3 linked regions of the Danio rerio genome follow. The protein of the gene in region 2 purifies or fractionates together with the protein of the main gene of each other region. This does not show direct contact. Links are inferred from orthologs where the notes say so. Each region holds a gene or a part of one and is shown on either strand. Other genes may lie near its edges. The genes, in order: vps52, vps50 and vps51.

Region 1 (3,654 bases), about 22 Mb from region 2:
ATGTTTTCAACTGTGCAGGAACAGCTGATTGTGACAATTACAAACTCCAGGAAATAGCGAGCTCAGGTGTGTGAGTAATTTTTAGATGTATATGCACGTGTTTTATGTATGCATTAATAAGTGAAGTTATTTAAATTGTACAGCCACTTGATATTATAATCTTGCATATTACATTAGCTTCATCATACATGCACATTATAAGACTACACAATATCATATTTTATACACACAGTAGCCTCCTTGTGTTTAAATTCATGACACTTTCAAGGCAAATAGTTTTTAGCAGAGAATTGACTATTAATTATTAGAATTAATTATTTAATGCTAAATATGTTTCTATTCATTTTATGAAGATCTGAGTTGATACTTTGTAAGTGTCTTAGTTACTTGGTAAGTGTCTCCGTTACAATTCTGAATACATAATTTATGCATTCAGATATTGTCCTGGGATTTAAACCTGTACAAAATGACTTCCATGGACATTTTTTTCTTCAAATTTACAATTTTTTTAGATTTTGAAAACCTTTTGCTATCTTAAACCAATTTCACCTGGACTTTCAGCAGTCTGCCACTATATGACTTGAAGTAACTTAAGTAGATTTTGCTCATGGTATCCACATACTCGTCCCGGATCTCTTTTGCAACTGTTCTCTCATTGGCTAACAGGAACTGGTAGAAAAACCTATAAATGATCAGAAACAGACATATTTAGGGGGGTGTAACATATTGTATTGATAAAATATCTATAAATTAATTATTTAAGAATTTAATTTAATAGAGTTAATAATTGCTATTCACCAGGACAAATTTTACTAATAACCCCTGTTGCTTGTTCTGATGTAACCAAAGTCTTTGTTTGGTTTAGTTTAAAGGAGTGTGTTTTGTACCTGTACTTGAGTAATGTGTTCTGGGGGATCTGGTAGTTGGTCATTGGCTTTCTAAAAGAGTAAATTTTCTGTAGGATGAACTCCCGGATCTTTGTGACAGCCTGTGATCAAAATTAAAAATTAAAAAACTGCAACACAAACCTAAATTTTGTATTCTTGTATTCCTATTAAAGTGTTTCTCAATTGGTTTTTTGTGACTTAAAATGGGTCACAAATCCATTTTGAGTAGGTCATGGAGTGATTTGGTAATGCACTTTTTGATTTTTGAAGATGTGTGAAGCTGTTCATGCTTCTGTAAGAAAGGCCCAAGTGCTTGAAAAAAACATTCTCACAGTTCACTGTCTGCGGTTGCTGAAAAAATGTTGAAAAGCAGTGTCAAAGTTCTAATGTTATTTTTATTACTTGTTATGATATAAAATATCTCTCAACTCAGAAAAACTAATATTTCTGGGATGCCAGCTGTTATCCTGTACTAACCAATGCTGAGCATTTCCATACCTTTTATAGTTTAGGTTGGTTTTATAAATGTAATATGTTATGTGTTTTTCAATTTATTTATTAGTTTTGTTATATTTATTAACAATTGTAGTTTGGGCCAGCGAATCTTTCAGTTGATATGCATGTTAACTAAAATGGAGTATTTGTTTGCTAATCATTTTTTGTAAATTACATTTGCTAGAATATAAAAGAGAGATAGAGAGAGAGAGAGAGAGAGAGAGAGAGAGAGAGAGAGAGAGAGAGAGAGAGAGAAAATGTAGGTCACATCTTAATGAACATAGAAAAATATGGGTCACATGGCCAAACCAGTTGAGAAGCACAGATTTACTTTATGAGGATGATCAAAATACTTTATCAATGAAATTTGGATTTGCTCTCACTTTGATTTTGAGGCGATCTACAATGTCCTGTATATCTGAGCAAGCAAGGGTCTCTCTGAAGCTGAGCTCTTTAGCAAAGTTGATTTTGTTATTAAGCTCATGAAGTTGCTCTAAAAATTCCTGTTCCGTTACAGGACTGTCAAGAATCACACTGCAACACACACAGTTCTTCATTCAGTAATTTCAAAAGGTAAAGCATGTCCCAATAATTACATGCTAAATATGTTTTCTTACGAGATCATAGTGCTAGGGACGACTAGTTCATCCACCAGCTGGCTGAGCTGACTGCGGACAGCCTGGCGGTTCTTGAGTCTCATATTCATGCTGACTGACTGTTGCTGCAATGTCTGAATTTCACTGCTGATGGAAGACAGGTCACTCTGGAAACTGCTCAGCATGCCCTCCATACGCTAGACACAAAAAAGAATTAGCACTTTAGCAGTTCAATGTCAAGCAGCACCAATGCTAAACACGAACTGTAATGCAGGCAATGTCAAATTGTAGCTTCTCATATGCATGCCATTACAAAGATTCCTTGATTCTCTGTCCATATAATTTCACCAGTAACTTCACACACACACACTCACACACACGCACGCACGCACGCACGCACACACACACACACACACACGGTTGGGCAATGAAACTGAAACACCTGGTTATAGCATAATGCAAGGCCTCCTTTTGTAGCCAATACAGCAATAATTCCTCTCAGGAATTAGATACAATTTCTGCACAGTGGCCAGAGGGATTTAGAGACATTTGTCTCTAAATAAGTAATATTTCGATCAGGTGACTGTGCAGGCCATGGGTGAAATTCAACTTCACTTTCATGTCTATCAAACCACTCTGTCACCAGTCTTGCTGTGTATACTGGAGTATTATCATCCTCATACACGGGGCTGCCTTCAAAATACAATGTTTGAACCTTTCTCCAGAACGGTTCAGTAGTCTTTGGTAGTCTTTTCGCCCATCTAGCACAAGCAGTTAGCCTAGGTAATGCTATAAAGTTGTAGCCCAAACCATTACCAATCCACACTCATGCTTCATTCTAGGCATACAACAGTCTGGGTGGTACGGTTTTTGGGGGCTTGTCCACACCATAACTCTCAAGATTTACACTGCTGGCACCATTGAAATTTACGCTTAGGATTGGCACATGTGACCAAAGGTTTACTTATAACAGCCTGGCCATGTCTATTGACCCTGTGGAGCTCCTGACGAACAGTTTTGGTGGAAACAGGAGAGTTGAGGTGCACATTTATTTCTGCAATGAGTTGGGCAGCTGTGGTTTTATGTTTTTTGATACAATTTGCGTTAGCACCTTGGCATCCCTTTCAGACAGCTTCCTCGTTCACAGTTACTGCTGGGGGTTATCATTCTTGGTGGTATGCTGACATAACCCTGGATACTTTGGCTCTTGATACATCACAAACTGTTTTGGTGACAGATGCGGAGCAACTGTGGGGCATTGGATCCACACAGACCAAAGGGTGAGCACCCCTAACACAACTTCCAAAAGCAACCTAGTTTTTCCTGTGTGCTCTCCCATCCAGGTACTAACCAGGCTCAACCGTGCTATTAACTTAAGTAAAGAAGCAACCAAGTCATCAACCAAGGCTATTTTCATGGCAAGAACATTTCAATAATAAATATACAATTAAAAACAACAAACAAATGAATGCATAAATTAAATAGGATTTTGTTATGTGTAAATACATACATTTTTTTAATGTACTGATGTTACTTTGTTAAAAATATCCTTAAGAAAGTTCATTTCATAAAAAAGCCTTCTGTAATCATTAAAAGCAGGATAGTTTATTTCAAATACAACATCTGGTAAAATCACTTGATCAAATCTAGTCTCAAAATGTCTTAAATCTGTGATA
Region 2 (4,448 bases):
AACCACAGGTGTCAAACTCCGTTCCAAAAGGGCCGCAGCTCTGCACAGTTTAGTTCCAACCCTAATTAAACACACCTGATCAAACTAATTGAGTCCTTCACGCTTGTTAGGTGTGTTGGAGCAGGGTTGGAACTAAACTGTGCAGGGCTTCGGCCCTCCAGGAATTGAGTTTGACACCCCTGTTCTAAACCTTGGTGGTAAACATAATCCTGGTTTCTTATTTCACGTTTCACACTGCTTAAACTTTCATCAGCATTAAAAGAATATCATGAATATTCATAAGCTGATGTTTCACATGGTACATTCCCGTAAACCTGGGTCTAGTCCTTTTATTTGCATATTTGAGGTGTCAAATATGCAGTATGTGTGGTCATGATGTAAACATAATCGCATCATATTCAAGTGGTATCGACGAATAGCAACTTTTTATTTTACATTGGTCATAAACAATGTAACTACAGAAGAGTCTTTAAATAGGAAATGTAGATTCCTATAACCCAGGGTTAAGACCCTTTATTTACATATTTAAGGTGTCGAGTTCATTGATTGGATGAACATTTATATATTGACCACACATGGAACTTTAGATAACCAAATATAATCAAGCTTTCAAAAAGCTTATTATAAATAAAAAAACAGTTCATATGATAAGAATGTTAGCATGTTTATTGTTCGTCCTTGCCTTCGACTTGGTACAGCTGAATATTATTACACAGTTTAGTAACCACAAACAAAGCAACACATTCCAGCAAGCAAAATACAGTATGTTCTGTATTTCAGACATATTTTTCTGACATCTGAAATAAATAGTTTCTAGCAAGAAGGTTTATATGTTTTTTTTTGTTTGTTTTATTACAGTCTCTTCCTATTATCATTACTATTAACAAAGAAGTAATCACATTCCTGCACAAATGTGTTTCATGAAAAAGGACAACAGTAGCACACCTCTGGGGTTAGAGATAAGTGTCATAAATTATAAAATCAACATATAAAGAAATAAGTGTTTGTGTATCAGGGTGAGACTAGTGACGCACAGCAAGTGAAATGAGCGACTGTGTTTGTGAATATTTATGCACATGCATTTTGTGTCCAACTGTGTATAAAAGTAACACTCCACTTTTTTGGGGGGGAAATATTCTTATTTTACAAGCCATTTGAGATTTAAATAAATTAGTTTATTAATTTTTTTATTCATTCTGCCGATCTCCGGGTCTGGCTAGAGCACTTTTAGCTTAGCTTGGCATAAATCATTAAATGAGATTAGAGCATTAGCATCTAATTTGTGCATTTGAAAAGTGCGTTAGTGCTGTAGCAGTATTATGCAGCGTTGTTTGCTAGTCACCAAGCTCGGGACTTTTATCAGGCGCGGTGTAAAAATCGTTGCTTTATGGCAGCTAACTTCCTTGATTATTTAACCAAATGAGTATTGTGCCTAGCCATTTCAACTAAGAAGATAGCAACTATTTAATTTCCGTTGGTCTTAGTAAACGATGTAACTACAGAAAAGTCAAGCTTTAAATAGGAAATTTATCAAAACACTTTTTTTTAATTCTTTGAGTAAGATGCTAATGCAGAGGTGGCCAACCCTTTTCCTGAAGAGCCACCTTCCTGCAGATTTTAGTTGCTACCCATGCAACCTGAACCAATTAATTAGGATCTGAACACCACGTGATAATTACAGGCAGGTGGGTTTAATATGGGTAACAACTGAAATCTGCAGGAAGGTGGCTCTCCAGGAACAGGGTTGGCCACCCCTGTGCTAATGGATAACGTGATTCAATTATTTATGCTAAGCTAAGCTAAAAGTGCTCAAGCCAGACCCTGAGAATCAAAACTAGTAAAACTCAATAATAGTAAAGCATGTCACTACAGTAAAGTCAAGCTTTAAATAAGACATTAATCAAAACTCCTTTTTGAATTATTTGAGCGAGATGCTAATGGTCTAATCTGATTCAATGATGTAAGCTAAGCTAAGCTAAAAGTGCCCCCAACAGACCTGGAGACTCATAAATGGTAAAACGCAAAGTTTTGATCTTAGTTGTAAAGAATGTAACTACAAAAAAGTCAAGTTTTAAATAAGAAATTTATCAAAACTCCTTTTTGAATTTTTGAGCAAAATACTAATGGTCTAATCTGATTCAATGATGTAAGCTAAGCTAAGCTAAAAGTGCTCCAGTCAGACCCGAAGACTCAAAAATAGAAAAACTGAAAGTTTTGATCTTAGTAGTAAAGAATGTAACTACAGAAAAGGCAAGTTTAAATTAGGAAATTTATCAAAAATCCTTTTTGAATTATTGAGGTGAGATGCTAGTGGTGTAATCTGATTCAGTGATTTATGCTAAGCTAAACTAACAGTGCTCCCGAGAGATCCGGAGATTGGCTGAATGGATTCAAAAATGGCAAAACCACTTCCAAAAAAAGTGGAGTGTTCTTTGAAAAGGATAGTTCAGTCAAAAATGTGAAATCCAAAACTTAGTAAGTTACTCTTTAAAACTGTGCTGTAAAATGGTAGCTATTAACACCCAATGAAATAGATGTCAATGGCTACCAGTTACAAATATTTTCCAGAATATCTACTTTTGTGTTCAACAGTACAAAGTGACCCATACAAGTTTGGAATAAGTGGAAGATGATTAAATGACAACATTTTCATTTTTGAGTGTACTGTCCCTTTAAAGGACGTCTTTATACCATATTAAAAAGCCTCATGCTACAAAACCCTCATATATTCCTCAACAAGGAAAAATTCAGCTGCTCATCCACAGCTCTGCTTAAATTAGGGTTTAACAGCGCCTGAGACATTCACTCATGTTGTGATTCAAGTGATGCTGATAACACTTTCATTACCCATTATCTTTTACAGCCGCTTCATATGTAGTCACAGCACGTCCTGCTTACATTCCTAACAAAACGCAAACAGAAACCGTAAACGTTTTCATGGTTGACAAACAAACTGCAGACCACGCAAGACAGATACGGGACGCGTAACAGTGTAGGTGTGTGTGACTTTTGTGGTGTATTTTTGATGACAGTGATTTATCTTTTGGGCCGGTCAATGTCATCAATGGCTGCGAGGAGTTTCTGTCGTGCTTTCTTGTTGATGTGGGACCCGAGGCAGACGTTGACCAGGTTAGTCAGCTGCTTCATCGAGTACTCCTGGGTAAATACAAAACAAACTGGTGATAAATCGAGCGGAGATGACAGTCATAACCATACATCTCTTTAATGGAGAATTAAAGCCAGTCTTGCAGGATATGCCTTACTAAGCAACATCACAAGCACATTTGGAGCCAAGCCAGCGTTTGTCTTGACATTTAAAAGGCAAACATTTAGTGATGCGTCATTTATAAAATATGCTAATGCTTCATTAGAATATGAGATTCGATTTTTACAGTATATGCAAGAATGTTTGATCCGAACATTAGCATAAAAAGGTTTGACAAGGCACTTCTAAGAAAAGAATAAAATGTGATTTTGTTTAAACGAATTATTATAAGCTACCCTTCATTTGCATTATTTTTAAATTATTATTTAAATTTTTTTTAAATTGCATTCACCATTTTTAATTATTATCCCTTTTTATTTTAGTTTTTAATATTGTCTTATTAAATTTTTTATATTAAAAAATAGGTAAAAGATGCTTCCCAGTGCTGGGTTGCAGCTAGAAGGCCATCCGCTGTGTAAAACATATGCTGGATAAGTTGGTGGTAAAATTTTTTTACTTAGAAATATGTTTGTTTTGAAACATTAGAAAAATAGAACAAAATATTACAAACCAAGAATATGTGAAAAAATAGCAATAGCAAAAATAGCTGTCATGTGTCATCCATCTTACCCTGTGGTTCTTGATAAACTGCTCCATGTCGTTTTCAGTCAGGTAGTATGCTTTGATGTAGGTCTCCACAAACTCCTTGTCAGGAATGGGTCTGAGGTCGGTGAGCTTCTCCAGCTTCATGAGGAACTGCTGGAAGTCCAGCTGCATCAGCGCTCGTCCTTCATTACTGCACTTCTTCACATTAGCATAGCTGGCAGACAGCAGGAGAAGAGCAGAGGTGAGTGCTGAGCCATTCATTACCTGTTGACAGTTTACGCTTCATTAACTGTAGACAGCGTCCCCAACAGCAATTCCAGGTGATGAGTCTTACACGGTGCGTGTAACTCTCCGGTTAACAGTTAACCTCGTGCCCTGCTGCTAATCAAACCTGAAACCTCACTGACCGTTAAACCACCAGAATGAAAATTAATAGACCTATAAATATATAAAACAATTAACAATGCAGTGGCCAGTTAGAAATAATTTATGACAAGGCTGGGATTAGTATTTTTGTTTCTAGATAGACATATTTATGGAACTAAAAATAGAAAGGCAGAATGACAGAACTGTAGATTATCTAGACAGACAGGCAGGGGGGGTGGGCGGGCGTGCAGACACAGACAGACAGATAGAT
Region 3 (4,242 bases), on a different chromosome or scaffold from region 2:
CAAGTGATTTCTGATTTGCTTTTCAATTGATGCACTTGAGCTCAACCACTCTCAATGGCAGAGCGGTGATCAAACAAAACACTATTGGCTGTTTTTAAAAAAGGGGAGGAGCTACACTATGTCCCACCCTTTCCCATTTAAACTTTATTTAAGCATTATATCATTTAACAACAATGACTTCTAATTTATAATAAACTTCTAATAAATTTGTTTTAGTAATAACAACACTGCTTCATCCATTTCATCTTGTTCTTTATATAATATCTGGCAGAAGAGGCTTGTTTCAATAATTTAGTGAAGGTTTTCATTCACAGAGATCTGAGAAAGACAAAAAAAACTGTATTTATGCTTGGCCAGAAGATGGCAATATCAATTTGTAAAGAAACCAGGCACACCTGTGCACATATGGTCCTATTATTTTGGTTGCCAAATGAGTGTACATGTAATACGCATTCCATTTTATAAGTGCTTTGCACAATAATTATTGTTCCAAAGCAGCTTTACAAAAGGTGCACGTTGTAAGATTACAATCAAAACCATAAAATGTTAAGGTGTGCGTAAGGTGGAAAGTATAGCTGTGCCAAGCATATACATATTTAATCTGCAGTTATGCAATATAATGTACTCAAAGAAATGTATATCTATTCTATATCTTATTATCTTTGTATGTGTTAAAAGGTTCCTTAATTACTCTATAAAATCTATTTTTAATTAGGATGAAATTCTACTGCATATGCCAAATATACCACGACATGCTTCACAGCACAGACCTGAATTTCTGTCGCAGTTGTTGAGCGAGCTGCTCCATAATGACATGGCAGTCATCTTGGATGCCCCTAAAAGAGGGCATATGACTGTACTGCTGCAATACACAGCGTGCCCTCCGATGGGAGCTCACTGCCTGGGCATAGGCCTGCAGCTCCAGACACTTATTGAGCCTTGCTGGCAGCTCGAACAGGAACTGCAGTTTACGGAGAAGAGTATGAACACCTACACAAAAGGTGAAAGATTCAGGAGTTGATTTTTGAGACTTGAAGTTGAGACAGAAATGAAATAATGTTCAGTAATAACGATTGTTCTACTACCAATTGAAAGCTGTAAAATGAATCAGAAATGGATAATTTATTATTTATACCTGATAATTTAGTGATCTGTGCATGCTGATCCTGCAGCGTCCCGCTAATGCGAGCACTAAACTCCGTGATAGCTGCCATGTTTGCAGACAGGCAGTCCATTTCATCCTCCATCTTCTTAAAGTCATTCTTCATTTTTCTGATTGTGTCTGAGGAATAATCAATACATTTTAACATGAACTGGAAAAGGCTATGAAACTCGTATGATGCATCAATGTCCAAACAAAAATGAATGACACCATTAAATGAACTATAAGGCAGCCATTCTGATAGTAACTGCATCTCAGAGAATTATTTCTTTGAAGGCCACATATAAATGCCCATATAAGTGCACCATCAAAGGCTGTCTAAATTCAAATGCTTCTTTAAATGTAGCCATCAAATGCTTATATTGTTTCCCAGAGTAAAGATGATATAACTGATAGATCCTTCATGGCCCAGAATATCCTATATGTTCTGGATAACGCTTTTTAATTTAAGTTTTGCATTTAGGTGTGCTATGATTTTTAAGTTAAAAACACAAACTGTGGTTTTATATGAGCAATTCCATGCAAATGTTAACCTTGTCATGAAAAAAAAAGGTTTTCACCAAAACATGGAAGTTGTTTTTACGTTTTTTTGTGTAGGCTTGTATTTTACAGTACTGCAAAAATACTCAAAAATGTCCCTGTCAATGTTTTCAAACTATTATATTTGATTTACCAAAGTCACACAAGTGAAAATTTCACATCAGTCACATCCATAACAAAGAGATGTCACATCCATAACGACACCTCTTCCTCAGAAATGCAAAAATGACAAGTAAAATAAAGTCAATTATTTTTGTTCTATAGAGAGCCATCTGTGAGCCTTTTGATTAGCATTATTTCTTCTGGGTTGTGCAGTTTAATTAACAGAATTTCTACAAAGTATGTTGTATACTGCAAACTCACAGTCTTTATGGTCACATTCATCACGCATGTTTATTTTCCTTATTTAAAATACAAAACTTGTTTACAGATTGATATTTTTCTAGTCCCTTAACTCTGTGGTTAGTTGTTCTAGAAAATATAAACAGATGTTTCAAAATAATGTTAACATATACTTTCTATGTGAATGTATGTTTTTACTGCAAATGTCACATTCATAACGCAGGAATTGCTCATATATAATTACATTCTTATAGCAGTTCTGATTTCTACAGGCACAACTATGACTTAGTAAAATCTGAAATTCCTTAATGTCTGTTTTTTTTTTTTTTTTTTTTTTTGTATTTTAAAGGTCATTTGTTAACCTGTGGCTGAGATGAACTTGTTGTAGTTTTCATAAACCAGGGTTTGCATGTCACTGTCCAGAGATCTGATCTGCTTGACCATGCAGCTCTCGTGGTCCATCAGCTCAGTCAGAGAACACTCCTTCCTCAACTGAAACACAAAAAGCACATTTTTTAAGTCAAACAACGGGACATTTAGCCTATATTAGCCTATATATTACTGGAAGAATATTGCATATGTGGCACATAATGACAGCACTCTCAATTTGGTGACCCTAAAAACTAAATATTAAAGCCAGGACATTCGTCACTATTAGCTACTCTACCTTATTTAAATAAATCTCTGGGTCGAAATGCGGTCCGTTGATATCGCAAGGATCCAGAGACTCGGCTTGTTCTGTGGCTTTTCCTTCCTCATTCAGGCCGTAGTAGAGCTTCAGCATACTGTGAACCCGCCGCCGCTGGGCCGGGTCCGAGTCCGGTGGTGTTGTGGCTGAGCTCATTTCAACTATTAACTATAGTCTGGTGTCAAAGCGAGAATTATTAAATGAATGAATGACAGATGTCAACAAAACATCTGTTGCAAGAGCTGTGGTTGCTACCTGCCAACTCAGTTTGTTGATGAGGCTAGGGCTTTGAGCCAAAATGGCGCTACTGTAGATAGTATTTCAAAGTAAAAGTCCGGGGGCGCGAACTAGGCTGCATCTTCACCAACTGTATGTATATATATATATATATATATATATATATATATATATATATATATATATATATATATATATATATATATATATATATATATATATATATATATATATATATATATCCACCTTTTTATATTCGGTTTGTATTATTCTAACGTGTGATAAAATATTTATTTTAGTAAGAGTGCTTTTTTACTTAGGTTATTTGATGCTATAAAGAGAGGTGTGGTGTGCTTGTGTTTGGGGGTCTGGGAGTTTAGAATTTGCTGCCACCTACATACCCCATTTAAAGGCCCCATAAAAAAAAAAAAAAAGTTTTTTAGATGTTATTATCAGTGTGTTAGTCTTAAGGATATCTATAAGCTAGGGCTCTTTAAAACAGTGACAAAATCAGCATTTAGAAGATCCAAAAACATCCAAAGCTTGCAGTTTGTCTCCTCCGCCTAAACAGATAAACAGTTTTATTCACATCCATTAGTATCTGAATGCAGCCTTCATGATGCAAGTTGAAAGTGCATCGCTCAGAGATGCAATGTCAGACACAATGCACTTAACGGAACTAGTGACCACTGTGAGGGGTAGGGTTGGGTGAGCGCATTAAAAAGCATTGGATGCAGCTCAGATTGCATCTTCACCGAGTCTGCCAGACCCCTTTCTTCATGTCACCACATACTTTTAGTTACTTATCAAATCTTCTGACCAATCAAATGCTCTCTAGTATCTGACAAGCCCCGCCCCCTTCAAGACACTTTTCATTTGATGCACTTGAGCTCAACCACTCTCACAGGCAGAGCTGAAAAAACAAAAAGGGGAGGAGCTAAACTAAGTCCCACCCTCTCTTCGTGTTTCAGTAAAGGTTACGTCAAACATCTAATAAAAATGCATATTTCAAAGCACTTCACAGGACCTTTAAGATCAATTCTGCGCAGACTTCGGCTCCAAATTAAGCATACTTCATTGCTCAAATCAAAAGATGACAGCAGCCATAGATGGGAAATTTTGGCTTCACTTTGATAATGTTACCAATTGTTTTTTATAAACAATTTATGACAATTAATACAATATTATTGCATAATTAAAACAAATTTTACCAAAAAAGCTAGTATAAGACAACATAGACAATATTTAGTCATTAAATTTATTTTCATCATTT

What was found.
Region 1: the proteins of vps50 (region 2) and vps52 purify together in Homo sapiens (affinity purification with mass spectrometry; 4 studies listed by BioGRID and IntAct, counting the BioPlex papers as one, with this or other methods). This does not show direct contact. The link is inferred for Danio rerio from reciprocal best matches to the Homo sapiens genes VPS50 and VPS52.
Region 3: the proteins of vps50 (region 2) and vps51 purify together in Homo sapiens (affinity purification with mass spectrometry; 7 studies listed by BioGRID and IntAct, counting the BioPlex papers as one, with this or other methods). This does not show direct contact. The link is inferred for Danio rerio from reciprocal best matches to the Homo sapiens genes VPS50 and VPS51.

What each region holds. Positions count from the first base shown.
Region 1 is NC_133194.1:20,885,953-20,889,606, reverse strand, and holds part of vps52 (vacuolar protein sorting-associated protein 52 homolog), read right to left. Parts: intron 2,176-3,654; coding exon 2,000-2,175; intron 1,917-1,999; coding exon 1,766-1,916; intron 989-1,765; coding exon 888-988; intron 683-887; coding exon 550-682; intron 1-549. UniProt on the Homo sapiens protein: Acts as a component of the GARP complex that is involved in retrograde transport from early and late endosomes to the trans-Golgi network (TGN).
Region 2 is NC_133194.1:43,312,850-43,317,297, reverse strand, and holds the end of vps50 (syndetin), read right to left. Parts: intron 4,026-4,448; coding exon 3,836-4,025; intron 3,157-3,835; coding exon 3,037-3,156; 3' UTR 646-3,036; downstream 1-645.
Region 3 is NC_133185.1:31,878,366-31,882,607, reverse strand, and holds the start of vps51 (vacuolar protein sorting-associated protein 51 homolog), read right to left. Parts: upstream 2,889-4,242; coding exon 2,712-2,888; intron 2,537-2,711; coding exon 2,407-2,536; intron 1,283-2,406; coding exon 1,136-1,282; intron 991-1,135; coding exon 771-990; intron 1-770. UniProt on the Homo sapiens protein: Acts as a component of the GARP complex that is involved in retrograde transport from early and late endosomes to the trans-Golgi network (TGN).